Notamacropus eugenii: one gene and its partners. The protein of the gene in region 1 interacts with the protein of each later gene in a pairwise test. Links are inferred from orthologs where the notes say so. Each region holds a gene or a part of one and is shown in the gene's direction. Other genes may lie near its edges.

The links.
Region 2: the proteins of LSM2 (region 1) and CLNS1A interact in binary tests that used the Homo sapiens proteins (3 or more experiments, as listed by UniProt). The link is inferred for Notamacropus eugenii from reciprocal best matches to the Homo sapiens genes LSM2 and CLNS1A.
Region 3: the proteins of LSM2 (region 1) and dnaJ homolog subfamily A member 1 interact in a two-hybrid assay, tested with the Homo sapiens proteins (2 studies listed by BioGRID and IntAct). The link is inferred for Notamacropus eugenii from reciprocal best matches to the Homo sapiens genes LSM2 and DNAJA1.
Region 4: the proteins of LSM2 (region 1) and LSM1 interact in binary tests that used the Homo sapiens proteins (3 or more experiments, as listed by UniProt). The link is inferred for Notamacropus eugenii from reciprocal best matches to the Homo sapiens genes LSM2 and LSM1.

Annotation. Positions count from the first base shown.
Region 1 is NC_092873.1:85,494,197-85,501,864, reverse strand, and holds the start of LSM2 (U6 snRNA-associated Sm-like protein LSm2), read left to right. Parts: upstream 1-4,477; 5' UTR 4,478-4,782; coding exon 4,783-4,785; intron 4,786-5,899; coding exon 5,900-5,967; intron 5,968-7,668. UniProt on the Homo sapiens protein: Plays a role in pre-mRNA splicing as component of the U4/U6-U5 tri-snRNP complex that is involved in spliceosome assembly, and as component of the precatalytic spliceosome (spliceosome B complex).
Region 2 is NC_092876.1:125,811,571-125,819,687, forward strand, and holds the start of CLNS1A (methylosome subunit pICln), read left to right. Parts: upstream 1-4,918; 5' UTR 4,919-5,224; coding exon 5,225-5,349; intron 5,350-8,117. UniProt on the Homo sapiens protein: Involved in both the assembly of spliceosomal snRNPs and the methylation of Sm proteins.
Region 3 is NC_092874.1:312,841,877-312,849,281, reverse strand, and holds the start of dnaJ homolog subfamily A member 1, read left to right. Parts: upstream 1-4,289; 5' UTR 4,290-4,579; intron 4,580-5,515; exon of another isoform or gene 5,516-5,601; 5' UTR 5,602-5,610; coding exon 5,611-5,742; intron 5,743-5,971; coding exon 5,972-6,149; intron 6,150-7,405.
Region 4 is NC_092872.1:622,806,374-622,814,461, forward strand, and holds the start of LSM1 (U6 snRNA-associated Sm-like protein LSm1), read left to right. Parts: upstream 1-5,088; 5' UTR 5,089-5,338; coding exon 5,339-5,570; intron 5,571-8,088. Other genes in the region: BAG4 (BAG family molecular chaperone regulator 4), read right to left, coding at 4,645-4,950. UniProt on the Homo sapiens protein: Plays a role in the degradation of histone mRNAs, the only eukaryotic mRNAs that are not polyadenylated. Probably also part of an LSm subunits-containing complex involved in the general process of mRNA degradation.

The DNA of each region.
Region 1 (7,668 bases):
CCTTTGGTGGATTATCCTCCATTTTATGCTCTCTAATCAAAGTTTCCCAAGACTGTCCTAGGCCTCCTTTTCTCTTTTCTCTCTGCATGTACTCTTTTGGAGATTTCATTTGCTTCTACGAATTTACTTATTATTTCTAAACTGATAATTCCCAGTCTGTAAACCCAGTCCAAATCTTTTGCTAGAACTCCACTCTGCCAACACCTTGTGGAATCTATATATCCAAATATGCCCCCAGCATCTCGCATATTCAGTGTGTTCAAAAAAGAATTCATCCCTTACCACCAGCTACTCCCCAACTCAAGTGTCCTCTAAACTTTCCTGTTTCAGTTGAACTGCTGTATAATACTTCTAGCCTCTCAGGCTGGAAACCCTGCAGTCATTCTAGAGTCTTCACTCTTCCTTACTCTCCATATCTAATTAAGTTACCAAGTCATGTCCACTCTATTTCTGGAATTCACATTCTCATACTTACATACTCTCCTACAGCTACAACCTTAGTTCAAGTCCTTATCACCTCTCACCTGTGTTGTTGTAACAGCCTCTTAAGTAGTCTTCTTAATTTCGGTCCCTTCTGTCTTACAATAATTAAAAAAAAAAAAAAAAGCAAAAATCTGGTTGTGACACTCCCCTTCTCAGAAACCTTCAGTGATACTCTATTGCCTTGAGGATAAAATGCAAACTGCTTCATTTAAGATTCCCTACAAGCTGACTCCATTCTAGCTTCCCAGCCCTTATTTCACATTAGTTCCCCTCTGTTATTGCAAAATTGGATTACTAACTTGCTCTCCAAACTTGACATATCATCTTCTACCTCCAAGCATTCAAATAAAGTATACTCAATGACTAAAATATGCGCCCTTTTCAATTTTGTTTTTTGACTCTTTTCCTTCCTTAAGACTCAGTAACAGTGGGGAGTTGTACCTCTTGGTTTGCTCCATGTCCAGTGGCAATAACATTTATTCAGCACCCAATATGGACCCAACACCGTGCTAAATAATGGGAATATTAAGAAAGGCATCATAAAAACAAAAATCCAGACACCTCCCTCTGCTAGCTTATATTTTAATGGGGGAGACAACATACAAACAACTGTGTACGAGATAAATTTGTTATATTATCAGAGGAGAGGCACTAGCATTAAGGGAGCCAAAGTTCTGTAGAAGGTGGGATTTAGCTGGGACTCAAACAAAGCCAAAATGAGACTAGAGGCATACTAGCAATAGGGATTCTCTTGTTCAAGGAAGAGCAAGGAGGTCAGTGTCACTAGATTGAATAGTAAGAAGAGATAAGGAAGGTGTAAGAAGACTGGAAAAATAGGATGGAGGCCAGGTAATGAAGGACTTTGAGAATCAAAGGTGATAGGTGGAGGTGATAGGGAGCCACTGAAGTTTCTTGGATGGGAATGGGGTAGAAGCATAACAGGGTCAGGCCTGTTGTTCAGAAAGATCAATTTGACAAATGAATGGAGTAGGGAGAGACAAGTCAGGAAGACCATCCAGCAGGCTATCATAATAATCCAGGTATGAACTGAAAAGGATCTGGCCTAGAATGGTGGCAAGGTAAAAGAAGAAGGGGGCATATACAAGTGAGGTTATAAAGATAAAATTGACAGGACCTGTCAACAAATTGGATATGGAGGTTGAGAGAATGAGGAATCAAGGATGATACCTAAGTCGTGAGTCTGGCTAACTGGGAAGGTGATGGCGTCCTCACCAGTAAAACAGAATGAGGAAGAGTGGAGGACTTGAGGGCAAGGGAAGGAAGATAATGAATTTCATTTTGAACATGATTTTGAGTTTAAGATGTCTACTGGACATCTATTTTGAGATGTCCAATAGACAGTTGAAGATGAGAAACTGGAGCTCAGGATAAATGGATAAATAGATCTAGGAATCATCAGCATTGAGATGATAATTGCATTCACAGGAGCTGATGTGATCACCAATATTATATTATCCTTTGTTTTTGAAGAGTTCTAATTTCATCATGGGATGATGATTGACTTTCTCATGGATTTAGGAAGCAAAGTTGCACAACCAAAATAAATAGAGGAAAAACAGGCTTCAGCACACAATTTTGGGGGTTTCACATCAAGTACCTACTATGTGCCAGGCACTGTACTAAATCCAAGAATTAAAAATATGTTGTTCCTACTTCTAAGAGCATACATTTTAATGGGGGGGGGGAGCAAATCTATATATAAATATGACAAAACCAAAGTTAATAAATACAAATACATGCAAACAAGTTAAATACAAGAAAGTTTGGGGAGAGAGGACCTTAGCAATTGGGGTACCAGTAGTAGAAGATTATGCTTTTGTTATGGCTTTTTAACTTGGTCTTTATCAGAGGAGAAGCTGTGGGCCCACAAGTTGCTGATAGACTCAGAACTGCTCACTGGGACTAGGAAGAGTATATCATTTATTTGAAGAGAGGAATTTCTATAGAGAACCACTGGCAGTTGGTCACAAATGGGGAAACTGAAGACAGTTCGGTTCAATCTGTCTTTATTACAGTACATGCAAAAAAAAAAACCCAAAAAGCCTGAGTCCCACTAATAAAATGACTATCAGTATATTATGTGCTTGGCTAAATATGTGTGACATGGAAAGTACAACTATAAATGGGTCTTAGTGTACATATGTCTGTGACATATGAAAGCTTGAGAAGGCAAAGACTAAGAAGAGCTAAGGACATGTAGAACAGTCCTACAATACTGTCCCAGCATACTGATTATGAAGTGTGGGGGCTGGAGAAGGAAGAATTATTGGCTAGTTTAAAGGTTTAAATATAGGGTCATGTTGGTTGGGGACCAATAAAGACAGAATATTAGTACAACAACCACTTTTCTCCTATAGGACTCATAGATATCCCAGCTGTCCTGTGAAATCAATTCCATGTGTTTCTGATAAAGGCCTCATTTCTCAAATATATAGAAAACTGAGTCAAATTTATAAAAGCACAAGTCATTTCCCAGTTGCTAAATTGTCAAAGGATATGAACAGGCAGTTTTCAAAGGAATAAATTAAAGCTATCTATAGACATATAAAAAAATGCTCTAAATCACTATTAATTAGAGAAATGCAAATTAAAACAATTCTGAGGTACCACTTCACACCTATCAGATTAGTTAATATGACAGAAAAGGAAAATGATACATGTTGGACAAGATGTGTCCAACAAAATTGTTGCATTGTTGGTGAAGTTGTGAACTGATCCAACCATCCTAGAGAGCAATTCAAACTATACCCAAAGGGCAATCAAATTCTGCATACCCTTTGATCCAGTAATACGACTTATATGGCTGTATCTCAAAGAGATCTTTAAAAATGGAAAAGGAGTTCCATGTATGAAAATATTTATAGCAGCTTTTTTGTGATGGCAAAGAATTGGAAATTGAGGGGATGCTCATCAATTGGGGAATGGCTGAACAAGTTGTGGTATATGAATGTAATGGAATACTATTGTGCTATAGGAAATGATGAGCAGGATGATTTCAAAAAAATCTGGAAAGACCTATATGAACAAATGCTGAGTGAAGTGAGCAGAACCAGGAGAACATTGTAATAGCAACACTGTAAGATGATCAGCTATGATTGATTTAGCTCTTTTCAGCAATAACAATAATCCAAGATATTTCCAAAAGACTTGTGATGGAAAATGCTAACCACATCCAGAGAAGGGCCTATGGAGTCACAGATCAAAGCATACTATTTTCACTTCGTTTTTTATTTTTTCTTTCCCATGGTTTTCCCCTTTTGTTGATTCTTCTTTTACAACATGACTAATATGGAAATACGCTTAACATGATCGTACATGTATAACCTATATCAGATTGCTTGCTTTCTTGGGGAAAGGGGAGAGACAGGAAGGAGGGGAAAACACTTGGAACTCAAAATCTTATAAAATGTTGAAAACTACATATAGTTGAAAAAAGTACTATTAAGAAAGAAAAAATATTTGTTATATGAAATGACCCTCTAAGAAAAAGAGAAGAAGGTATACTGGGGGAAATTATTGTGATTTTTTTTTTTAAAAAAAAGGACATCGTTTAAAAAAATAAATTTGACGTTTATTTTGAGTTGTCCAGTTGACGGTGGAGATGAGAAACTGGAGGTCAGGAAAGAGGTTAGGGCTGGATAAGTAGGTCTAAGAATCATCAGCATAAAGATGATAATTGAATCCACAGGAACTGATGTGATCAATAAGGTAAATAGTATGGAGGGACAAGAAGCTCCAAGACAGAACCTTGGCGATTATTTTTTTAAACACGAATTATTACAGGAAGGTCACCCAGTTGTGGTGGAAAGATCCCAGAATGTATCTTAGTAAATGATTTTCTTCCCATATCACTCGCTACATAGTAATTTTGTCTCGCGTCGTTCTATCTCCACTGCACAGGACAATCCTTGAATATGTCATTAACCAAGTTGACCTCAGCCACCCCAACCCCCGAGCCCAAAACAACGCCTGCGCAGTGAGACTCTGGAACTGGGTAGCAGGCTATAAGCTCCGGCCAGCCTCCAAGTCTCAACCCTAAGGTTCCGAGCTTTTCCCCTTCTCAGGCTGCAGCTGGGGGAGCTGAGGCTGGTGTCTCTTCCTAACCCGCTCGCGCCTTCCGCCCGCCGCCGCACGTGCGCACCCACCCGCCCCCCGCGCCCGCGCGCGCCGGCCTTGGGCTCGGACTCGGGTGGCAAAGATCGGCGGCCCACACTCCCCCGCAACCCCAGCTAAGCCGCCCCACCTCCTCTCCCGGACCCGAGCCGCGGTGCGAGGACCATGGTAGGGGCTGTGACGTCATAGGCGGGGGTACCGCTTCCCGAAGAGACCGTTGACTCGGTTCGGAGGCGCGGGGACGGGAGGGTAGGGGGGAGGGACTCCCCCTTCCCCGGAAACTGGGAAGGGTGCGGGGTCGGGCGGTTCGGAGAGCCCAGGATTCGAGCCCCAGCCCTCGCCCCCTCCCCCCCTCGGGCGAACCTCGGGCGCTTCGCCTCCCCCCTCTCCGGGCCTCAGTTTATGCCTCGTTTAGAATTAAAGGGTTAACCCTTTCTGCTCTTTCAAAGCTCCCTTGGGACCTGAATTGTGGATGTTGAAGTGATAGCGAACGTGTACAGATAGTGCTTTCCGTCGGTTAACCAATTTGGTGGGTGCCAGTGAGGAAAATGAGGCACAGACTTGATGGTCACACAGCTGGCAGAATTTGAACTCGGTTCTTCCTGACTCCGAGTCTGCCCTTCTGTCCACATGGGCCACCTAACTCATCCCCGGCGCTTTAGGTACCCCTCTCCTCAACAAGTAACAGTACAGGATGTCCCAAAGTTTTAGTCCGAAATAGCAATGAGACTTTGGGGACATTGTGTAATGGACAATTGAGAAATCTGCAGCCCATTATTGCCATTAAATGGTGGTGGTCCTTGAGTCTTAAGGAGAGGGTAATACTCCTGATTGGGGAGGAGGTGGAGAGAGGACAAAGGATGATGTACTGGAAAGGAACTGTTAGAACCACAGGATATAGAATTCTGCAGCTGGAACGGACCTTAGAGATTTTTATCTTACAGGTGTGGTCATTGGGGTTGATTTGGCCAAGTTAACAGAGCTAGTAACTGGCTTGTATTAAGTGCTTACGATGTGCCAGGTACTGTGCTAATCACAGATGAAAATGTAAGCAAAAAGCTTGCTTTTTAATCATGGAACTACACGTGAAAGGAGGACTGAAGGAGAGAGGATGGAGGAAAGCAAACAGCATCGTGCTCCAGAAAATGTGGGATGACCATCTGGGCTCTTCCCCCAAATGGCCGTTTTGAAAAGAATTCATCAATAAAAGGAATAGAAAATGGGTGATCAGTGCACCTCTGCCCCATTTCATGATTTTTTCCCCCCTTTTCCTTTCTCTCAGCTCTTCTACTCCTTCTTCAAGTCACTTGTGGGAAAGGATGTGGTTGTGGAACTCAAGAATGACTTGAGGTAATGTGCACAGGAGCAACCGAGGAGTCTTCCTGCAGAGCTGAGGAAGGCAACTTTGCTGAATTTCCACAGAGGTCTTTTGAAAAAAGGCTTCTTAATTAATGTTGTGTAACTTACACTCTGCAATAGGCACTGGGTGCAGCATACAAGAGTACATGACATATTTCTGCTTTTAAGCTTTACGGTCAGAATGGGAATATAAGTCTTGCAAAGGGGAGAAATTCAAGAATACAGTACCAAACAATATGTTACCAGATACTAGATGATGTGGTATATTAAATATGTTTTAAAGGAATTCAGGGAAGAGAAAGGTCAATATATTAGCTGGACCTTGAGAGACGGATAGAACTTGGATAGGCATGGAGATCATAGAATTGAGATAGAAATGGACAAGAGATTTCCAGGTGAAACACTGAGCAGAGGGCTAATGAGCACAGTGTTTTCAGGAGACAGCCAGTCAGGTCTGACTGGTGAAGAGTTTAAACTTGATTAGGCACTCATTGCTTCTTGCCTGAACTATTTCAGTAGCATTCTAATTAATCTCTCTGTCTCAGGTCTCTTATCACTCCAATCCATCTTCCCACACAACTACCAAAGTGATTTGCTTAAAGTATAGGTCTGACCATGTCATACCCCTCCTTCCCCAAACTCCAAAGGCTTCCTGTTAACTCCAGAATCCTGTATAAAGTCCTTTGTTTGACATTTAAAATTCTTTACCACCTAGCCTCTTCCTACACATTGTGAATTTTACAAGTTAACCATTCTAGTCTGCTTCTTGACTTTTCCCAAGTCACTCCCCACTCCAATCCATCCTTCACACAGCTACCAAAAATTATATTCCTGAAGTGCAGGTCTAATCATATAATTCTGTGGTACCCCCTGCCACTTCCCCCTAATTAACTCCAGTGGCTTTCTGTTATCTGCAGGATCATGTATAAAATTCTTTCTTTAGCATTTAAAGCTCTTTGTAACCTGGTCCCTTCCTACCTCTCTAGTCTTCCTAAATATTATCTCTTTCCAACAACTCTACGGTCTAGCCATTCTGACCTACTGGATCTTCTTCACTCCAGAATCTCCTCTCTGGGTGCCTTTGTACTGGCAGTCCAGCATTCCCTGAATGTTCTCATGTCCAGTTCTGGCTTCCTTCAGGAGCTCAAGCACATCCCATCTTTGGAGGAGGCCTTTCCTGATCCTTCCCAACTGCCAGAGCCTTCCCCTCTAAGAGTACCTTCCATATACTTTGTATCTTCCATATACTTGTGTATTTCCACATTGTCTCCCTTACTAGAATGTAAGCTTCTTAAGAATAAATAGGGGCTGTTTTTATCTCTAGCACTTAGCATGCTGCCTAGCACATTGTAAGCATTTAATATACATGTTTGCTGATGGATTGGTCATATGGATGAGAATTCATTGACTTGACATTTTTGCTATTGAGGACAAATTTTAGTAGCATGGAATCCAGAGTTGTAGAGTAAGGCTTATATAAAGGACAAAGTGAGTCCTAGGCAAAACTGTAAAGAGGGTGAAATTTAACCTTGTCTTGCCAGTTTCCACCCTACACCCCCCCCTTATCTTCTGGTAAATCCTACCTAGCTCTTGTGCGTGATTTCCATGTAACACGCTCACTGAGATGCAAGCTTTCAAGGGCTTAAGTTAGGGTTATTCTCAGGGACATTTTTACTTTAATAGGGAACTCAC
Region 2 (8,117 bases), on another chromosome or scaffold:
ATATATGTAAATGAGTGGTAGTTATGTTTCTAATACTACTTTGAAAGAATATCCAGGTAGCAGCCCCTAGTTAAACTGAATTCCCAGGTGCTCAGCTTTTGTTGCCAATATTTACTGTAGCTATACAAAGACAATAAAATCCTTAGAAATCCTGAGTTAATCTTTCCATTAAATTCCTAGGAAGTAGGAGTCATTCAACAGTGTGATAGTCTGGAGCTGTGATAGGGCTGGAGCCAAGAGACATGGGTTTGAATTCTAGATCTGATACTTTTAATAGTTGTAAATCATCCATAGCGTACTATGACCTTGAGCCTCAGTGCTTTCTCCTATAAAATAGCGATAATAGTACTTACTCCTTGCGTGACTAGGGTTATCATGAGGAGAGTGCTTTATAAACCATAAAATACTAAATCAACTTAAGTTGTTATCATACAAAATGTTTTAACTCTGAATTCTCCAGAACCTAGCACAGTATATTCCCCATATCTCAGATTTAGAAGGGACTCTGGGAGTCAGTCAATAAACTAGCATTAATTAAACACCAATTATATGCCAGGCATTATACTAAGAACTGGGGATACAAAGAAAGGCAAAAGACAGTTCCTACTCTCAAGGAGTTCACATGGGGGAGACAACATGCAAACAAGTCTCAACAAACAAAATACACACACACACACACACACACACACACACACACACACACATAAATGGGCAGCTAGGTGGCGAAGTAGGCTAGAGTGCTGGGCCTGAAGTCAGGAAGACCCATCTTCATGGGTTCAAATCTGGCCTCAGACACTTATGCTGGGTAAGTCACTTAACCCCTGTTTGCCTCAGTTTCCTCATCTGTAAAATGAGCTGAAGAAAATGGCAAAGCACTCCAGTATTTTTGCCAAGAAAACCCCAAATGGCGTCAAGAAGAGGCAGACACAACTGAAAAAAACAACCAAATGACAACAATTCATGGTCATTGTCTAATTCAATAGTGAACTATGTCCAGTATTTTGGACTGATATTAGAGGGAGTCTCCAGACTGCAGTGTCTGATTGGAGTCTTTGAGCATAATGTGGCCATTGTTAGTTTGAATTCAATGGGTATTTCAGTGGAGATATTTTTAAAATGATTTATTGTACTTTTAGCATCTGCCAGGAAACATAAATATTCAGCCAAATAGGAAAGAAGATTAAATTGTACATGGAACTGTAAACTTCTACTATGGGGTATTTTAAAAGTGTTAATATTATCTTTCACAGAGTGGTAACAAAATTGTTCTATTTGTTTCTATGTCCCCTTTTATTTTCCGGTCAATAAAACCCTTAGGGTACTTTCCAAGTAGTAGTCCTAGGGATTAAGTGAAGGGTTAAAGGATATGAACAGTTTTGTAGCCCATATTGTATACTTCTTTGTTGCTTTTCAAATAGATTGTAGCAATTCACAGTTTCACTCCTGGTTATATTGATCCTATTTTGCCTAATCACTTGAGTATTACATTTTTATCATTTTTAACAATCACTGCTTAATTGATGGATAGAATCAATCAGGTAGAATCAATCTCAGAGCTGCTTTAAATTGCATTTCTCTAATAATTCATTACTGCAGAATTTAAATACACATTACTTTTACTGTCTTCCATTTTCAAAGACTGATGGAAAGTTCTTCGTGTTACCAAAATGATCATTCAGAGTTCACCACTTTTTTCCATATTGCACATACACATGGAGGCTTAGTTCATTGATATGTGGCTGTAGGTCACTACTCTGCTGCTTCTCATCCTTGCAGCATGCCTGAGTTTTTTTGTTCAACAAAACCAGTCCAATTCAGATGGCCAGGATTGCGGTCAGGAATGTGGCAGAAGGGATCTTTCACTGAAGAGGGCAGAGGGAAAGCAGAGGGAGAAGAAGGAAAACCATTTTATCAGAGACGGAGACCTGGAAGGGATCTATCTTAGAGGCCATCACATCCAACCCTCTCATTTTACAGAGAAGGAACTTGAGGCCCAGACAGATGAAGTAATTTGCCCAAAATCACACAAACAGTAAATGGTAGAGCCAAGCTTTGAACCATGTCCTCTGATTCCAAATCCAGCTTTTTTCCCCACTCTACAATTCTAGGAAAAAGAGGTGGTTGGATCTGATAATCACTAAGGCTTCTTCTAGCCCTGAAATTTTGATTTGATAAGCCAAGTTTACCAACATGGCATGTCATCTCCTGTGGCTTAGTGCATCCTAAAAGCATTTCTTCTACCACCTCCATCACCCCAACATCTCCTTCCTCCCTTTATGATTTTCCCAATTGAACTCTCCATATGACATTTTCAACAATGATGTTTGAATTAAAACATTCCCATATGAGGATTAATTGAAGGGAATATTTAGCCTAAAGAAGAGAAATCAGGGATTGTATTCAGGAATTAGAAAAGCTATCAAGTGAAAAAGGAATTAGCCTTATTCTACTGTACTCTAGAGAGCAAAAACTAGGATCAGTAGATTAAAAATAGATGGATAGGACCAATAGATAGAAATAGAAGAAATATAGATTTCAGCTCATTATAGAGAAGAACTTCTAAGTAAAAAGAACTCTGAAAATGGATTGAAATGCATTAGAGCTATTAGAGATGTTCTAGAAATTTCTGCTTGAACACTCATCAGGCTTGGCACAGGACCACTGACTGGAGAGTTGGACTAATCCAATCCATCAATCAACATTTATTAAGTACCTACTATGCCAGTTGCTTCGATAATAACTGGAGATACAAAAAGAGGCAAAGGACAGTTCCCTTAAGGAACTCATAATAGACGTTGCAAATAGTAACTAGCAAACAAATATACACAAACAAACTGTACACACACACACACACACACACACACACACACACACTAAACAAGAAGTAATTAGCAAGGGGAAAGATACTGGAATTAAGAAGGGTTAGGGAAGGCTTCCTGTAGGAGGTGAGATTTTAGTTGGGAGAAGCCAAGGAGGTCAGTTGTCAGAGCCAGAGGGAGAGTGTTCTAGACATGGGGGACAGCCCTGGAGAATGCCCAGAGTCAAGAGATGGCCAGTGCCAGGGAAGGAAGACTGTGTGGCAGGGAGAAGGTTAAAGAAAACTGGAAAGGTAAAAGGCAGCTAGTTTATAAATGGCTTTGAATGCCAAATAGAGCATTTTGTATTTGCTGCTGGAGGCACGAGGGAGCCACTGGAGTTTACTGAGTAGTGAGGGAAGATGACATTGCTGGACCCACACTTACAGAATATCACTTTGGTGACTGAATGGAGGACAGATTGGAGAGGAGAGACTTGAGGCTGGCAGACCCCATCGGCAGGCTACTGCAGTAATGATCCAATTGCAAAGTGATGAAGACCTGCACCATGGTGGTGGTAATGTCAGAAGAGAGAAGGGGACATATTTGAGAGATGCTGGAACATGGAAATCAACAGGCCTTGGCAACAGGTCAGATAAAGGGAGTGAAAGAAAGTGAAGAGTCCAGGATGACTCCTAGGTTATGAACCTGAGGGACTGGGAACTCTACAATAACAGGAGGATAACAGGAGGGGAGGGTTTAGGGCCAAAGAGAATGAGTTCCATCTTGGAAGTGTTAAATTTAAAATATCCAATTGTATCAAGCTAGAGATAATTGAAAGGCAATTGGAAAGGGGAGATTAGAGGTCAGCAGAGATTATGGTGGGATAGACAGATTTGAAAGTCATGAATATAGAGATAGTAATGAAATGCATGGGAGTTGATAAATCACCAAGTAAAGCGGTATAGAAGAGAAAAGGGCCCAGGACAGAAGTCTGTGGGACCACTTTGCTATCTAATGGTCCTTCTAAATCTGAGACTTGGTTATTGGGGAATTTTCTTGACCTCTTGGGAGCCTACCCATCAAGGGTTGGTAACTGAGCCAAAGATAAGAGGACTTGCTGAAAACATTCCAATAACAGCAAATCAGCTTTCTGGTGTGGACTTGGCTTGTTTAGCCTTTCACAGCCATGGCCAATGGCAATGGCATTTCAGCTTGTGAGACCGGTGGCAATTGAGCATAGATAGAGAAGTAAAACATTTCTCTGTAAACAGAGAAATGAGTCAAGGGAGAAAAGGGGAATATTTGGAATGCCAGTGGCAGGCTTTATACATTCCAGTTCCAGGGCAGGAGACAAAGGGAAGAGCCCCAATACTTCTACTGTGGTGAAAACAGCCCTTTAAACAAAACGGCCGGCTTTCTTCATCCTAAGACAGCAAGTATGGGTTACCACAGCGGTTAAAGCCCACCTGCCGCAGGCTTTCCGGTGCCCTGGCTTGGGGGCTGGAGACTGCGATGTTGGGCACTGCTCAGATGCCACCGAGACGTCCTGAAGTGACTGTGGTTCCTGTTTCTCCCCCTACAACGGTTCGTTCAGAACACTTAAAATATCTTGTTGGTAGACAGCGGCCAAGAAGCGGGTACGCAAAAGACGGCGAGCTTCTCCAGCCGCAGCGAGGCCCACGCGGGTCCTGGCCCCACGACGCAATCCTGTTGCCCTTCCGAGTATCCTCTCCTGGCATCTCAGAAGCGGGCTTCGCTCCGGAGCCCTTGGTCAGGAGATCAAACGGCCGTCCAACCGGGCACCCACAGCGCAGGAGCTTCCTGGGGGCACTGCCCATCCGGGGCCCGGGCACCAACTGGCCCATGCCCAACACCTGCCCTCCGGGGCATGCCCAGCACGCCCCAGGTCGTGCTTCACCGATCGTGGGGGACACACGTTTCCAGCGACCACCATCCGGACCGGTCGCCCCACCCGCAGAGAGGTTCCCCCTCCCGGGCCTCGCCACGCCAGGGCCACGCTGCCTCGGGCGGAGCTAGGTCAACGCCCTCCCCTTCCAGGGGCTCATTCTACACCTGGGGAAACTGAGGCTCGGACAGGAGAGAGCAAGCGAGTGGCCCAGAAAACACCGCGAGTCCAGGAAAGAGCCCGGATTGGAAACCACGTGTCCCGCCCCCAAGACCAGAATGGGTGGGAGGGAGGGAGGCGGGCCGGTCTTCCAAGACCAGCGACCACTCTTCCTAGAAAGGCTCTGACTACTCCAGAGCGGAGGCGGTGGGCGGGGCTTAGCCGTCCTAGTCCTTCCGGGGTGGCCAGCCTCGCCCGGCCCCTTTCCTTCCGGGTTCGGGGCGAGCGTGTCTCCTTCGCCTGCGGTCCAGCCCCCCTCCCTGGTCCGCGGGCGGACACCGCCACCGCCGCCGCTGACAGAATGAGTTTCCTGAAGAGTTTTCCGCCGCCCAGCCCAGAAGATGGGCTTCGGCAGCAGCAGCCCGACACCGAAGCGGTGCTGGACGGCAAGGGCCTGGGCACCGGCACCCTCTACATCGCCGAGAGGTAGTGGCGCCGGCTTGAGGGGATGAGCGCGGGCGCGGCGGACCTTAGCGCTCGCCTAACTCCCGCCCCGTGCGTGGGCGCGCTCTCGTAGCCGGGGGCGGGGGGCGGGGGAGGAGACGGGATGCACGCATGCGCGCGTGTGCAGGTGTCCGGCGGCGGAGCCTCCTCGTGGGCGTCCCGGGCGGGCCGGGGGCGGTTGTGGCCGCGCTCGGAGTTCTTTGCCCCTGGGCGGGGCGCGGCGCGGGGCTCCGCTGGGGCGCAGACCCACTTTATCCCGCGTGTTTGCCCCTGGGGGGCGCGCCCCCTCCCCCATCGGCCCGCGACCGCTCGAGAGGGGGCCTGGCCGGCTCTTCCTCTTTGTGTCCCCGGCGCTTGGCGCAGGGCCCGGCGCGCAGTAGGGGGGCAATGAGTATTTGCTGACTGACCCGTAGACCCGCCGCCCGCACCGACGGAGGACCGGCCCTTGAGGGAGCTCGGCGTGGGGCTCCGTTTGCCCCTCCCGCCCACGGAGCCCTTCGCGACCTCTTCTCGAGGGCGTGGTTAAATTGGGGAAGTAAAGCCGCCTGTGGCCGTGCCTTCGGCCGCGAGCTAACACCTGTTTACCAGCCAGCCGTCTGTGCGGGAGAAATCCGCAGTAATGCCCCTGCCTTGGGGGAACTGGGGAAGGCTCTTTGGAAAAGGGAGGAGAAATCCCTCCAGCCCAAAAAGTAAAGTTCTGTCGTTCAGAAACGGAGCTGCTGCGGACTGAGAGCCGCGAGTGTGCGGAGGAAATGGGAGCGTGGGGCTACGGGGGAGCCAGAATCCCTGACCCGTGCTGAGATAGCCCCTGTCCCCTGGCGGGGAGATCCCAAAGCCGGCAGCTGTCCCTCCCTCTTAAAGGTGCTGGGGAAGAGTGCCCTCATGGTGAGTAAGCACAGTGCCAGGTGCTGGGCACCTGGAGAAGGAAGCTGAGGTGGGCCGAAGTTAAGTGACACCCCCGGCCCGGGCCTTGTAGCCGCCTCCAAGGTGTGCCCTTCGGCACGTGGTGCTGTAATGGGGGCTTCAACCAGGAAACATCCATTGAAAGCCTTTGCCTAACGAGTATCGCTCATTCCAGATACGTCTCTCGCCCAACTTGAGCCCTTTCCCCTCTGCCTTTCCTCCATTCATTTTCCACTTTGACTGTCCTCCTTTGGCCTTCTCCACCATCCCTTACCCCCTCCCCCACCTCCCCTTCAGCTTTCTTTTATATGTTGTCTTCCCTCTTCAGATTTCTAAGTTCCTTTAGGCAGGGACTGTTTATCACATTTGTATTCCTTGTACTAGCACAATTCTTGGCACATAGTGAGTAACGCATAATTATTGACTGACTTACTGAATTCTGCCATCCTTCCTTCTTACTGCTCCCAGATGAACCTTTCTGCCAAGTAAAGTTCATTCTCTTGCTTGTCTTTGAAGATTCTTAAAATCTGGTAGCACCCTATCTTTCCAACCTTATCCTGTTACACTGCAGCTCTGTGTTTTCCTGCCATTCTGAGGTTCTCTGTGCCTGAAGTATTCTTCCCTCCTCTTCACCTCTGATTTTCTGCTCATCTTTTCAGGCCAACTCAAAATTCTTGCTTCTTCAAGAAATCATCTCTGAGTCTCCCGAATCAAAAACAACATCTTTCCATACAGTACTGTTTTTATGCTTGGATAATTCACTTGGGTATTTTATAAGATAGTTTATCTATACATACGCTTTATCGTTAGATGTTAAGCTTTATGAGGGCATAGGGGAAAGATTATGAGTTTAATTTGGGACATGTTGAATTTAAGGTGTCTGCTGGACCTTCAGTTGGCAGTGTCTGAAAGGTAGTTGGAGATGGGAGACTAGATGTCTGCAGAGAGATTAGCTCTGGACAAGTAGACCTGAAAGTCATCTGCATAGAGGTGATTGAAACCGTAGGAGTTGTCCGTTGTAACTTGGAAGCTGCTAAATCTTGTATGATCCTAACCTGTGGCTCCACAATATTTGTTTCTTTCTGGCTTCTTGCAATAGTTCCTATTTGACCTGGAAGCTTTGGAATTTGGCAGTGATATTCCTGGGAGTTTTCATTTTGGGATCTCTTTCAGGAGGTGATTGGTGGATTCTTTCAATTTCTGTTTTACCCTCTGGTTCTAGAACATCAGGACGCTTTTCCTTGATAATTTCTTAAAATATGATGTGTAGACTCTTTTTGTTCATGGCTTTCAGGTAGTCCAATAATTCCTAAATTATCTCTCATTCTTTTTCTGAGGTCAATAATTTTTCCAATGAGATAGTTCAATTTTATTTCTTTTATTGTTTTTACTCTTTTGACTTTGTTTTATTGCTTCTTGAAGTCTCATGAGATTGTTAGCTTCCACTTGCACAATTCCAATTTTTAAGGAATTATTTTCCTCACTGAGCTTTTGTACCTCCTTTTCCATTTGTCCTATTCTGCTTTTTAAGGAGTTCTTTTATTCATTGAATTTTTATGCCTCTTTTACCATTAGGCCAATTTAGATTTTTTAAGGTGTTATTTTCTTTAGTGTTTTTTTTGGGGGGGGGGGGGCGGCTTCTTTTACCAAGCTGCTTATTTTCTTCATAATTTTTTACATCACTTTCATTTCTTTTCCCAATTATTCCTCTATCATTTTCTTTAACTCTTCAAGGAATTCTTGCTAGCCTTGGGTCCAATTAGCAGTTTTCCTTGTAGCTTTGCTTATGCCTATTTTCACGTTGTTGTCTTCTAAGTTTATGTCTTGGTCTTCCCTGTCACCATAAT
Region 3 (7,405 bases), on another chromosome or scaffold:
AAAATGAAGGGGGAAAGCCAATTCTGTTCTCTATAACCTGCTATGCAGGGACTGGCATTCCAATGAACTGTTCCTCAAATAATTATTGTCTTTTTGTTGCTTACAAATGTATTACTCCTGATATTTAAAAAAAAAATGGTAATCACTATCACTGACTTATTTAATGATGGAGAGTTTGGGAGGGATTTTTGCCCTTAAAGAGACAGGAGACTTTTTTCTCTTTCAGTTAACTTGAGATGGGAGAAGATGAAACCTTGAATTCCCATGGGAGAGAAAAAAAGCATTATCATCCCCTCAATCTAGTCAGTCAGTCAACTAGCGAGAGAAATCATTGGGGTATATGTTGTTACAACTGGGACCATCAATATTACTGTACATGAACCTTGTGTTTTACATGTATCTTGCAGCTAGCCAAGATCATATCAATGGCCTCCTGACTTTGGTCCTTAGCCTTCTCCAGAGCTTTCTCCTGCTGCTTGGCTCAGCCAATCCAACCCAGGCCAAGACCTCACCAACCACTCACCAACTTTCTTGGCTTCTAGAACCTTTTCTAGCACTATGCTACTAGATAAGATCCCCTCAACCTCCAGTACCCTCAAGGCACTTCTCCAGCATGCTGCCAATACACTAACCCTATTCCTTAACCCCAACTGCCTGCTTGCTTGCTTTCTCCCACACACCTCAACATAAGCCAATGTCTTACTTCATATTCACCACACCTCTTTGCACTATGCTCTCTGAAATGCTTGCTCCCTTTTTAACAGTCTTCCTTTCATATAAAACTCTTTCTTACTCCTTCCATCTGGTACTGAGACCTGGCTTCCACTTGCTAGCTCTGCTTCCTTCTACAACCTTTACAATATTAGTTGCATTTCACTCATACCTCTGACTCACTGGCTATGGTAGCCGTTGGAATGAGTGCCTCTTGCTCCTCATGACCAGTTCTAGACTCAATTTCTATCACTATGACTCAGCAGGATCTCCTCCTTTGAGGATCATGATTTCCAAATTTATCCCCTGATCCAGATCCTGATGGCTGTTATCTAATGCACTGTAGGACATTATCCTTCTTTACTCAATAAATTCAGTTCATGGTTCATAGTCTTTTTCCACATCCTAACTCTTACATTCTCATTAAGGGACTTCAATATGTATATTGATGCTCCCTCAAATATCCTGACTTCTATTTCAGTTCGTATGACTTATTCCTTCCATTCTTCCTAAGCTGCACACACAAAAAAGTGATCATATCCTTGATCTTGCCATCACCCACAAGTGTTCCACTTCAGAGTTCCTTAATTTCCAAAGTTTAGTTCCAAAATTAAGTTCCAAAATTTCTCTGATCAAAATCCATTATACTTTATCTTTCCCTATGTATTACTATGTTTTTCATCCTCACTATAACCTCCATTCCCTCCATCCCTAAGTTCTTTCACAGATTATTACCTTTTCACCAGCTACTTTCTCCTGTTTTCATTATCTAAACCCTTAGTGAACAATTCAGCTCTATACTCTTGAATCCTTTGCTCCTTGTCCTACCATTGACAACACCTTGCCGAAACTCAACTTTCAGTCACTCCTACATTTTTCCTCCTTCCCTCCTATTCATGTACTGTTAACTAGAACTGCAGGAAATCCTAAGACCACATTAGTTGCAATAGTTATATAATCTCAAATAGACCCTCACTGCAGCAAGGTAATCATTCTACTTCTTCCTAGTCAACTCTCCATCTCATTTTCCACAGCAGGTATACCTAACCCTCTCATATCTCCCAGAGCCTTCCTCCATCCCCACCTTCCCTACTGAGGATCTCAACTCCTACATTACTGAAAAAATTGAGGTTATTCAACAAGAGTGGCTTTTCTTCAACTCTCATCTCACTTCATCTTGCCCTATTATTTCTTCCTTCAACAAATCTACGATGATGGGGTAGCTCTTCAGTTTGTCAAGAATAGTACCTCTATGTGCAAGGCATTTTCGAGGAATGGGAGAAAGGGAGGAGAGACATAGGGATAATAGCATGAGGGGATGGTAAAAATCTAGTGAGACTTGTATGACTTTGTCATCATGCCCTAAGAGAGGTGGGTGCCATATCTCCCAGAAGTTGTCACATCACTGTTGCCCTAGGAAGGAAGGAGTTCTGTAGTTCAGTAATTTCTCAGATTTAGCTTCCAGGAAGACAACTGATCAGGGCAGATAATATTTGGATATAGTTCTGGTTGACCCTCTCTCACCTTTCTTTATTCCATCCCCAGCTGAGAGTCCTTACTCTTAAAAGTTCTTGCCCCCTCAAGAGGCTCCATTTATCCTGGGAAAATGGTTCAGTTCTCCCTCAATTGGCAAGTCTCTTTTTCCTAGGGATAGTTCAGACAAATCATTCTTGGAAAGTTCCTGGGAGATGGAGTCATGTTGCTGGGAAGTGTCTTTCTTTTGAACCATATGAAGACGAATGTGTGATTTGCCTGGAAGAAAGGGCATCCTTGAGTTAGTAGCAAACCTGAATTCCTGGAATGGCAAGAAGGGAGTCTTTATCCGGCCATCAGTGAAGAAAAGAGCAGCTCTTCAGCGCAGGCCCCCAAAGGTGCACAGATTTGGCATTCTCCCTCCTTGCCCTACAACGGGTTCCCGGGAAGAAGATGCCATAGTGATCTGGGGAATGGAGAAGGTGGTGGTAGTAACAAAGATGATCTCATTATCAACACTAGCACTGAGTTTGCAATGGAGACTTCGCTACCTTGCTGCAAATGACCCTCACCTGTGAGAAGGATCAGTGACTGTTAGAAATACCACCTATGCAGTGGCCTAGATGGTCCTGGTAATTTTCCTGTGCATGCTTCACACTGGGCAATCACCTTCCCCACAGGGGATTATTAAAGTTTGGGACTTAGTCTTCACTTACACAGAACTGTTTGCCATTTTTTTCTTTTTTAGTGTTTATTTACTTGTACAAGGTCCTCCTCCAGTAACTTTCCTACCCCAGGCCTCTCACACCCTGAAGATCAGTCTGTCTAGTAGGAGCCCTAGTCATGTAAGTGGCCTGATAGCCCCGAACTGCCTTGTAGTTTAGACTTTATTTTTCATTAAAAGCATCCTTAAAATTAATTGGCCCGGGAAGACTCAGCTCAATTTCCTCAGCCCCCTCAGCTAAATCCTTGACTTATTCTTGATGGCCTCAAAAGGAGACAGGTGTCAGGCTTGACCAGCACACCAAAGGTGGGCAACAAATACATCAGCAGGGAAGCTGTCCTTAGTGGCTTTTTAAATGTATTTTTTTCTTTCAAATGTCCAAAAGGCTTTTTGGTATAAGGAAAAATGAACTGGCCTGGGAATCCTTGGGACCTGTCTGGAATCTCTGCCACCCCCGGGTGCTCAGGCCCCGGGACATCTTCCAAGATTTTAAAATTACAAATAGGGTGGAGATAATTTCTTTCTTTCTGAACATATTTTAATTCAGCCCATTAAATACTTCCCGATGACATTAAAACTCTTTTAACATTTAAAAAAATTGAGTTTCCAATTCTCCCATGAGAAGACAAGCAGTAAGATATCGATTACCCAAGTGAAGTCACTCCAAACCTAGTTGGAGAGAAGGCCACAAACCCGGAGGCCCATCCCAGTTAATCCGAAATTCCCGGGTGCTTTGCCCCATTAGGTGTTCCTTGTTTACTGAAATGTGCTTGCCAAGTCTCCCTTTTTCAAATTTATACCATTTTCTAACAGGCAGAAATGTTGGGATCGCCCTCAACATTAATCTACTGACTTAAAGTGAATGACAATCCTCACTAAGCCCCGGGGACCCGGAGGCTTTGGCCTGATAAAATCGGGAGAAACGGGGAAACCGGCGGAAGGATCCGGGAGCCATTACTCGATTTCGGGCGCGGGGCCACGGGGGCCATCGCCGGCCTGGGCCGGGGCCTCCTTAGGCCCACCAGCCCTAGCTTGGCTCCCCGGGCCCCGGGAGGTGGGGGAGGGGACGGGGCCGAGAACCTTCGGTCTCCCGGGGCCCTGGGCCTCTCCCTTCCCCCGCCTCCCCATCGCCAGCCTGGGCCGGGGCCTCCTTAGGCCCACCAGCCCTAGCTTGGCTCCCCGGGCCCCGGGAGGTGGGGGAGGGGACGGGGCCGAGAACCTTCGCTCTCCCCGGGTCCTAGGCCTCTCCTTTCCCCCGCCTCCCCAGCGCCAGCGCCGAACAGCCTCCATCATCCACCTCCACCTTCTCCCCCGTTAGAATATTCCGGAGTCCCGCCTCCGCCCCCCGTTACCCCAGTAACCGCCGCAGGGAGGGGGAGAAGCGGGAGGGGGCGGGGCGGGGCGGGACTTCCGGCGAGTGACGCACCTCCGCTCGGCTACAAAACTCGCCGGACGCGGCCGCGAGCGGAACTTTCCAGAAAACTCGGCGAGAGGCGGAGGGCAGCAGCTGCCGCTGCCCGAGCTCCGCGCGCAAGAACTCGCGCCCCCTCCCCCATCTTGTCTTCCTTCCACTCCATCCCCAAACATCCCCACCGGCTCCCGGGCGGTCCCCTCTCACCCCACCCCGGACGTGGGCATCGACACCGGGCGTACGGCGAGCGTCGCTCCCCGGTAAGTCCATCCCCACCCCCCACCTCGGCTCTCCCGCCAGAGCCGGGAAGGCCGTTGGCGCCTCTCCCGGGGTGCGGGGGCCGGGGCCCCGGATTTCCGAGGGGTGTTGCCCCCGCTCTGCAGCCTGGGCGCCGAACAATGGGCCTGGCGTTCTCCCTGGCCTCCTCGCCACCTCCCCGCCCCCCGCGATGTCGGTAGCTTCCCCCCATCCTCTTCTCTCCTTTTTCCCCTCCCCCCACTCCGGTCTCTTCGGTTCTTGGGGGGGGCGCACCTATTTGCGGGGGTACGGGGGCGCTGTGTGCGCGCTCTTGTCTGCGTGCGCGTCCCCGCTCCCCCGCAACCTCCCCCGAAGGAGCCCTGGATGGTGAGTGTACGTGTGCGCGCGCGCGCGTGGGTACAGGTACGCCGCACACACACGCGAGCTCCATCCCCGAGCGCCCATAGAGGTCGTGACCTCGAGTCGGGGCCGCGAGCCTCCTGTGGGGGTGCCGAGCGTGGCGGGGGGAGGCAGCGCCCACGTAGCGGGTCAGGAGACCGTGATCTCGGGGGGGGGCGCCCCGGAAAGGGAGCCTTGGAAGGAGAGGTGGGGGGCCGAGGCGAAGGCGGCCCCGGTGGGTCGGGGGACGAGGATGACCTGCCAGACGTTTAACTGGGGGCCTCACCTCGTGGTGGGGAGCCTGGCCCCGGGGCGGGGCGTCCCGGGGAGGTGGGAGGTGGGGGACCGGCCTCCGAGGGCGCAGCAGGGGATCCGGGGAAGCGCCTCCGGGCGGGGGCTTGTGGCGAGCCCTCCACCGGCCTGGGCCCCCGGCTCTTTGTCTTGTAGCCGGGTAGGAGGCGGCCTTGGGGAGAGGCAGGAGGGCTGGGACGGTCCCTAAAGGCCCCCAGGTGTGCCCAGGTGTTAGGGTTATGAAACGTGACCCAGTTCTTGGTTCAAAGGCTTGGGTAAAACCTTCAGAAATACGTAATCGATCAGCTGGCATCAATCGATTCTAAGTGCCTTCAGGTTGTGGTTTTAAGTGCAGACTGTAAAAATGGTGAAGGAGACGACTTACTACGACGTCCTGGGGGTGAAGCCCAACGCCTCCCAGGAGGAGCTGAAGAAGGCGTACCGAAAGCTGGCCCTGAAGTATCACCCGGACAAGAACCCGAACGAGGGAGAGAAGGCGAGTGGTGCTTCCTTTTTAAAGAGTCTTAGTGGGGACCGAAAGTAGGAGGAAGAGGAATCCTCTGATGACCGCTGTCCTGTCTGGTCTGCTTTGGGTTTGTGTTCTGTCTGGTTTGAGGGTCCGTGTCAGTGGGTTGACGAATCTGTGTGAAATGTGACGTGACCAGAACCTAGGTCCTGGCTGCACCTTAGAAGAACCTGCTTTACACTGTGGCCTCTTGTTACAGTTCAAGCAGATCTCTCAAGCTTACGAAGTGCTTTCTGATGCCAAGAAGAGAGACCTGTATGACAAAGGGGGAGAGCAGGCCATCAAAGAGGGCGGCTCCGGGGGTGGCTTCGGCTCTCCCATGGACATCTTTGACATGTTTTTTGGAGGAGGTGGGAGAATGCAGCGCGAACGGAGAGGTAAGCAGGGGCTTCAGAGAGTCTGCGATGGCAGTGAAACAATGGCTTTGTTGTCCTTGGAGTTCCTTAAAACGGGAACACTTTCACGGGATAGGCACCTTTCGCCTGTCCTGTACATATCTGTAGAGGTTTAAAACAAAACAAAACAACCCCCCCCCCCCCCCAGTGTTAATTAATCCTCAGCGTCCAGTTTTAATTTATTTGGATTTGGGGGGAATGCCTGATGTTACTTGACATAAATGACCCCTTTTTTGTTGGCTTCATGTCATCTGCAGTTTGAAAAGCATGCCATCTCTAAGCCATTGACAACATTCTGAGTAGAACTAGGTAAAAAGAAAATGTTGTGGTGCTTACTCAACTAGGAATTCCTTCCAGTTGGACATTGATCTATTTATTAATCACTATTCTGAGTCTGGTTGTTGAGGTTTTTTGTGAGCTTTTGCTGTCACCTCCCCATTGTGGCCATTATCCCATTTATTAATTTTTTTAACAGAAAAAACCCCCTCAAAATATTGTAGTCCACCAAAACAAATATCTAGTACCGTCCTTGTGCAAAACGTGGTCGTGTGCATCTGTATGTCTGTAGCTGCATTTTTTATCATCTGCAGCAGGAGAGGTGTTTCATCCTCAGTCTTCTGGACTTGGGGAGCTTATCATTCTTTGTATTGATCAGAGTTCTCAAAATCTTGATTATTTTTCTCTCTGAGTGTTGTAACTGTTGTATCATCAAATTTATTTCTGTTTAGTTTACTCTGAATTAGTTCATGGTGGTCTTTATAGTTTCTTCCCAAGCTATAGCATATATGTGTGTGTGTACACACATACATGTGTGTATATATGTATATATACATACCTATACATTACATAAAATTTCATTATTTCTTATATCACAGTAATATTCCATTATATTCACGTCTTCTTATTTAGCTCTAATCACCGAGTGTAGATTTTACCCACATATTTACCATGTAGCTCATCTCACAATTAGTCAACAATGAAATATTGATTAACTTTGCCAGATACCTTCTGAAATTCAGAAATAACAATAGGTAAGGATAATTCCATACACATCACCTTGGTAGAAATCTATTAACCCTCCTTTGAAAAAGATAGTTGTCATCTGATGTAATTTTTGGATAAAACTGTTGGCTCTCAATGACCACAAATTCCTTTAATAAATGCTCAGAAACCATATCTTTACTCCAGATTAAAACATTATCACTGACTTAAAATTGGAAGAATTAAAGATCCTCATT
Region 4 (8,088 bases), on another chromosome or scaffold:
GGGGAGGGAGAGGCCTGGAATGAAGAGGACAATGTCGAGTTCAACTGGTTCACCAAAGGGTCAAGATGGAGAAGAGATGAGTATACAGACAATATGGGTGTAAAGTACAGGGGAGGAGGTCAGGGAGGGACAAAAGAAGAGCTTTTGAAGTTGAAAGGCAGAGAGGCAATAAAATGATTAGAGATTGTGATCAGATAAGGGAAATTTCAGAAGTCATGAACAGGACAGTGAAACGTTTGTAGGTGATGGCCAAATTCAAGGGCATCCCCTTGTGTGTAGTTGGGGGAAAATGGTGTTTGAGTAGTAGTTCCTAGAAAATAAGTAGATTTAGAAACTAGATTTGGGTGTTTGAAGGACTATCAATATGTAGACTGATGCCCTCTGGATGGAAGATAGAAGTTGGGGTACAGAAAAAACTGTGAGCCAAGCACAGAACTCATTAAGAAAAGAAGAATTGTCCTGGAGATGACACTGTGGAGATGACAGATGACAGCTACCAGAATCTTGTTTGGGTGGTAGAAATTAATTGAGTGAACCTCAAAGGAGGAGAGTGATGGTAACAGAGGGAAAACATGGAAATAAGTGGCAACGGGAAGCAAAGAGCATTTCAATTCCCTCACCTCAAGTGGTGATTTGGGATATGAGTGTAAATGTAACCACTTCTTGAAAGGGTGATCAGAAAGGCTGTGTTATCAAGAAAAAGCCAGGAAATGGAAGGAGTAGGAAAGGAAAAAAATTAGTCCTAGAGAGGGGAGGTCAAAGAAGAAATGCAGTAGTTCAAGTAGACTGAATATTATTCTGGAATGCTGGCCCCAAAACTGTATTTTAATATGTTGTGACCCTAGTCTGAGATTCCTATAAATGTTACCTCAAATTGTCTTGGAGGGAGAAAGTCCAACATCATGAAAGGATTATGTCAGTTTGGACCCTTGTCTCTCTGTACTAGATGAGATTTTGAATGTTAAATTAATAAAAACTGACTGTTGCAGATCTGTGCCTAAAACAGAGTACACTATTAATATCTTTTCTTCCACAACTATTCCAATCAAGTGTACCACCATCCTAATCACCCAGGTTCCCAACCATGTTGTTATGCTTAACTTTTCATTCACCCTCACTAGACATATGAAATCAATTGCTAGGTTTAATCAATAGTCTAGGCACTATCTGCCCCTTTCTCTCTATGAGGCCATCACACTAGTTCAAGCCTTGTCACCTCTCTCACCTGCACTACTGTAAGAGCTTCCTAACTAATATCCTGCCATCTTCCAGGTAGTTGCTAGAATGATATTCCTAAAGCCCAGGTCTCCCCCCCTTACCCAAATGCTCAAGAAGTTTAACTGGCGCTAATAAAATGTTGGTTCCCCTGACTGCCTTTCCAGAGTTACAACATATTACTCACCTTTGAACCTTCTTGAGTCCAGCTAAACTAGCTTTTCCTTATTGTTCCTCACAAGTGACACATTTCTTTCTGCTTCTTTGCCTTGGAACAAGCAACCTCCCACACCTGGAACGCACTCTCTACTTCTTTTTCCCTCTTAGAAGCCCAGTTCAAAAACCATAGCCTGCATCCTCCATCTTCTTTCCTGCTCTCCCACTGCTAGTACCTCCTCTCCTATCCCTCTGCAGCTACACTGAATTTACTTCATATATATTTTCTACACACACACACACGTGTATGTGCCCCTAGTTTCTCCTAGAACACAATAAGCACAGTGAGGACAAGAACAGTTTCATTTTTGTCTTTATATCCTCAGTATCTCATAGGTGATTATCTGGTATATAATTGGCATTTATTAAGTGCTTTTTCAATACTCTAAATCACTATTGATTAGAGAGATACAAATCAAAGCAACTCTGAGGTACCAAATCACACCACTCAGATTGGCTAACATGACAAAACAGGAAAATGACAAATTCTGGAGAAAATGTGAGAGAGTTGGAACACTAATTCATTGTTGGTGGAGCTGTGAGCTGATCCAACCACTCTAGAGAGGAATTTGGAATTATGCCCAAAGAGCTGTGAAATGTGCATACCCTTTGTTTGATCCAGCAATACCACTACTAGGTCTGTATCCCAAAGAGAACATAAAAATGGGGAAAAGACCCATATTTACAAAAATATTTATAGCAGTTCTTTTTGTGGTGCCCAAAAACTGGAAATGGAGGAAATGCCCATCAATTGGGGAATGGCTGAACAAGTTGTGGTATATGAATGTAATAGAATATTATTGTGCTTTAAGAAATGATGAACAGGCAGACTTCAGAAAAACCTGGAAAGACTAATATGAACTGATGCTGAGTGAAATGAGCAGAACCAGGATAATATTATACACAGTAACAGCCACAGAGTGCAAGGACTGTTTTTGTTTTTGATAGACTTAGCCCTTCACAGCAATTCAAGGACCTAAAACATTTCCAACGCACTCATGATGCAAAATGCCATCCAAAATGCAAAATGTCCAGAGAAAGAATAATGGAGTAGGAATGTCGAATGAAGCAGACTTTGTTACGTTTTGTTCTGTTTTGTTTCTCCCATGGTTTCTCCCATTCGTTTTAACTCTTCTATGCAACATGACTAGTGTGAAAATGTGTTTAATAGGAATCTATGTGTAGAACCCATACAAAATTGCATGCTGTCTTGGAGAGGGAGAGGAGAAAATCTGGAACTTATGGAAGTGATTGTTGAAAACTGAAGACAAATAAATTCATAAATTTGGGAAAAAATAAATGCTTTTTCATTTATCTATTGATTTTTACCTCTAATGTTCAGTCAACAATATTATATTTTAAATATTTTTACATTGCTGCCAGTTTCAGTCAGTAAGTTTAAAAACAAAACCAATCTATGTGGAAAGAAATCCATAATAGAATGTTCACTCCCATTGGGAGCAATGGTCAATTAAATATCTCTTCTTCTAGTCCTCAAACCTGTTTGATTATCAACAACAAATACCTATATAGAAGTTTTGTGCCAATTGTTAATCTTTTGGACAGGTCAGTTTCTTGGGTTGTATTCATGCATATTTTCAATGATGAAAACTGTGTTCAAGAAGTGGCATAAGGGATATTACTGAAGAAATGTATACTGAGAAAAGGAAGTGGACCGGTCATGTGGCTAGATGAAAGAATTACAGCTTTACCTACCATTCAGCTACTATACAAAAAATGTAATGGAAACCTTGAAGGTTTCCAGCAAGTTGGATGGATCCTCTAGCAGGAATTAAATGGAAAAGAACTGCACTGGATAAGAAAGCATGGATATGTGATGCCACTTGTACCAATACGGGGAGTCCCAAATCAATGAAATTATAGCCATGTTGAAATAAAAAGTTATCTATTAAAGAAACAAAAGAGTTGACTTGGTGAAAGATGGTAGAATTCTCCACCCTCCCTTAAGTGACACTGATTGTAGCCCAGCTCTAAGGAGTACAGACATAAAATCCAAAGCCTAGATAGAGGTTCCACCTGCTGGTCACATCAAGTCTGAAGAATTCATGGGTGACTCAATCAGTCAAAATGCTGTGTAATAAGGATGGTTCCTCCAGGCCTACTATTATTCGAATATGTCCCCTTATCTCCCACTTTTTCACAACCTAAGCAATCATTTAACAAGAATTTAATAGGCCACCTCCTACATGCAAAGCACTAGCCATCAAACTGAACTAGTTCCCAAGAACATAATTTTCCAATTCCTAAATCCTACCTTGAAAGAGTAAGTCAAGACCAAGTTCTCTGACCATCCTCTAACCCCAATGAATACACACACACAACCTCGATGGATGAGATCAGGGATGTAAGAGATCAATCTTCTAAACAATCAAAGCTTTTTCCACCCCGCCCTCCCCCCTCCCCCCCACGTTAGACTATTCCTAGACGCAGCGAACAAATATGTAGGACCTTTATCTACCTAAGAGACAGAAGGGCTTAAATGAAACGTCCAACGCGGAGGTGGTGAAGCAGACTGACAGGCAGACGAATGGAAGAGACTAGAGATGCTGCAGTGATGACCCTCAGAAGAGACACGCACTTGCAGATCACGACACGCTCTGAGCTTAGGAGCAGGTGGGGAGTAAAAATGAAAAAAAGCTGATAGCCTCCGGAACGACCCGGCTCGCAGCACCTAAGGTCCCAACGTGCAGGAGGGGCCGCCGAGTGAAGGCATCACAGTCGTCACCGTCTTCGGGGGAGCGGTGAGGGGAGAGGGTGGAAAGGGCCTGTGCCTGGGGGGGGGAGCAACCTAGGGTCCATTCCAGACCCCCTTCCCAATGGCTTTGGAGGCCTCCCCTGGGCGAGCTCAGTTAACCTGGGCATTTGTGCAGAGCGGAAGGCTGCAATAAACGATTTACGATTTCTTTTTCAGCTTGCTTTACCCCCAATCGCTGCTCGGTGAGACACCATCACCCAGGCCACAAACCTTGTCCCTCCTCCCATGCTCCAGAAATAGGAGACTAACGAAGCTGGGATCCGTTAGAAGCCCTCCAACAGGGTCTCACCCCGGCGTCCCGGGCCTCTGCAACGCGACCCCCGGGGCCTCATCTCCCTAGGGACCAACCACCCCCGGCGACCCCCTCCACATCAACCCCCTCCCCCCGCGCACGGACGACTCCAGTGACCCCAGGGGCTGGCCGGATCGGGGATTACCTGGTGGCCTCCGGCCCGGCACGGGTCTGGCCAGGCGGCTCCCCCGGGGTAGTAGCCCCCGCCACCTCCGCAGGCTCCGCAGGCTCCGCTGCCTTCCCCGGGCCACACAGCCTCCGCCGGGCCGCCTCCGCGCATCCTCCAGGGGCCAGGAGGCGGAGGGGGAGGCGGCTCGGGCCGCGATGAGGCTGGAGGCCCAGGCGGGGGCACGTCTCCAATGCTGGGTCCGGGTCCGGGCCCAGCCCCGTAGTAGCGGCTGTAGCCCGGGCCGTCGCTGGGGCCATATCCTGATCTCCTCAGGGTAGACATTGGCTCCGCTAAGCCGCCGCACTTCCCGCTCCCCCCACCCCAAGCCCACTGCGCAGGCGCCCGCTGAAGGCAAAGAACAAGCCTGGGAAAAGGGGGCGGAGCCAAAGCAACCAATCGCCGCCCTGGCTCCTCCTCCGCGGGAGTAGCGTTCATGGTCCACACGCTGACCAATGAGGCTGAAGGGGGGGGGGGGGGTCTATGCTAGTTCGGGCCAACCTTAGGAATTGAAGTTAGAGAACTGAGAAGGGCAAGGCGCACGTTCTTCCTCAGCCTAAAGAGGAAAAACGAGTTCCCCACTATCTAATGCGGTCCCGCTCACATCTCTCCCCCTTCTCCTTTCTCGGGGGCCTGCGCCGTACGACCCGCCCCCGAGCATGGGAGCCACGTGATGCCGGAAGTGGGCGGGGTAGGGGGAACTTCCGGTAGCTCCTCAGTGACTGCTGGCGGCTGTGGACCTGCGGGTACCGGCCCCGCTGAGGAGGCTGAAGCGGAGGGAGAAGTAGGACGCGGCGGGTCCGCTCCGCTCCTCCTCTCCCCACCGTGCCCCAGCCCAGCCTCCCCCTCCCGGTTCAAGATGAACTATATGCCCGGTACCGCCAGCCTCATCGAGGACATTGACAGTGAGTGGCCGCCGGGCCAGTCCCCCTTCCCTCGTCGGTCCGCCTCCTCCCTCGGGCTCGGGTAGGGCATGGGCCGAGGCCGGGACGCGTCTCCAGGCCGTAGCCCCGGCCCTCGGGCTGCGGTCCGCGAGCGGCCGAGGCCTCCCTCTGACCGCAGATCGCCTGGGGGGGAGTTAGGCGTTCCGGAGTCACGCGGGGTTTCTTTTTTGCCCTTTTGTCTGAAGAAGGCAATGGAGGTCATTCAGAGACTCCGACACCGCTTTTCGACCTGAGTACTCCCCACAAATTCATTAAGTGCCTGCGATTTGCGAGGCTTTTGTCCCCAGAAGCTTGGCCCAGGTGGGGAAGTCTTTAGGCCATGGCAACTCTGGAAGACCCTTTACTAAACCCCTGGAGGATGGGATTACGATCTGTCCGGGGGAAAGGTTGGCCTCGCTGATAAAAAGAAATAGCGAGGTGCGTGCCCGGCAGCGGGGAGGCGAGTGGTCCCAGAGCTCAAGAAATTGGGTGCAACAGTGAGGGGACGCAGTAAGTGCCTGAAACAGGGCGTCCGATAGTGTTCAAGGAAAGTGAGGCCCACCGTTCTCGAAGCTGTGGCAGAGACTTGTTATCTTCCTGCCCGACCCCTCCACCCCAATTCAGCAGACATTTAAGTGCCACTGTTCAAGGGTCCGAGGACACGAAGACCAAAATAAAAAAAACACACACACCCCTTTTGGAGTTCATATTCTACCAAGGAGATGTGTATACACCTAAGTATAAAGTATACGTGCCAGATTTTATCTTAGCCCAAATAGACCCTAGAGACAGCAAAGCAATTTCAAGAGGGAGAAGGAGGAGGAAAGGTCTGGAATAGGAGGTGGTACTTGAACTATGTGATCTCTTATATAAAGGCACAGTGGCAGGAGGGAGTATGTTGTGTAAGAGAAACAGCTTTAGGACCAGTTTGAATGGAATAGAGTCCGTGAAAAAAAAATAGTGTATCGGGAAATGTCTTAAAAACCAGATCATGGGGGTCCTTAAATGTCAAGTTGAGGAGTCTGTATTTTATGCTAAAGGCCATTAGGGAGGCATTCAAATGTTTTGTTGAGGGGTGGAGTGTAATATGTTCAGAGCTATGCTTCTGGCATATCAATTTGGCAGCTATATTGGAGGATAATTGGAAAAAGAACAAATTGGGCCAATTAGGCTATCCAGATAGTCTGTCTGCACAAAGTAGTGGCTGTGTAAAATGAGAGAAATAGAGGTAGAATCCCTTCACACTATTATTTTATACATACATATTTTCTCTTTCACTGACAAATTCCTGGAAAAAACCGTCTGTGCTATTTGCCTCCTTTTTTCCTCACTTTTTAACCCCTTTGCAGTTTAGCTTCCTACCTCATTACTCCTTCGATTCTGTCCTCTACAAAGATACCAGTGATCTCTTAATTGCCAAATCTAGTCCTGATCCTTTTTGACATACCATTCCCTCCTTTTGGTTTTCATGACACTGCTCTCTATTTGTTCTCCTACCTGCCTGTCAACTTTGTCTGTTTTGCTGTATCACCATCCATATCCTGCCCTCTGATAGAATATATCCTGGACCCTCTAGATAGACTTTTAGTATTCTCATCAGCTTTTCAGTGGATTCAGTTCTCTATGCAGATGTCTCACAGATCTATATATACATCCCTAGTTTTTCTTTTGAGCTCCGATCCTGCATCACCAGCTGTCTCTTAGACATTTCCAACTGGATATCCCTTAGGCATCTCAAATTCAATATGTCCAAAATTGAACTCATTATCTTGTCTTCCCATTTCTATCAAGGACACCACTATCCTTCCCATGACCTAAATTTTCAACCACTGAATCATCCTCAACTCCTAACTTTCCCTCATTTTCAAGTCTTTATCAATTCTACTTCTGTCTCATCTCTCACAATTACCACCCTGATTCAGGCTCACATCACCTTTCATCTAGACTATAGCCATCTAATTAGTCTTTTATCTCTGATCTCTCCATCCTCCACATAGCTGCCAGACTGATATTCCTAAAATACAGATCTTACTCTGTTAGTCCACTGCTCAAGAAGTTTCAGTGGCTCAGTATTGCTTCTGACTGCCTTTTCAGTTCTTCACAATTTGGCTCCATCTTTTCTTTCCAGACTTAATAAATGTTACCTCCATCATGTGCAGCGTGTTCTAGCCAGACTGACCTACTGACCTTTTCTCATATGCTACAGTCCATTTCCTGCCTCTTTGCTTGTTCCCTGTGCCTAGAATGCACTCCCTCAAAATCCCTAGCCTCCACAGCTCTGTTCAAGTGCATCCACGAAGCTTTTCTTGATTGCCTGCAGCTTCTAGTGCTGCCCACTGCCCCCCTTTTGTGTGTATATATGTATACATATATACACCTACACACACATTCTGTGTATGTGTGTACATCGTTCTGTTTTGGACATATTTGCTTTGAGATAGAAGGAACATGGTCAAGGGCAGAACTCTGAAGGATGTCCACATTTGGTCGACAAAGGGAA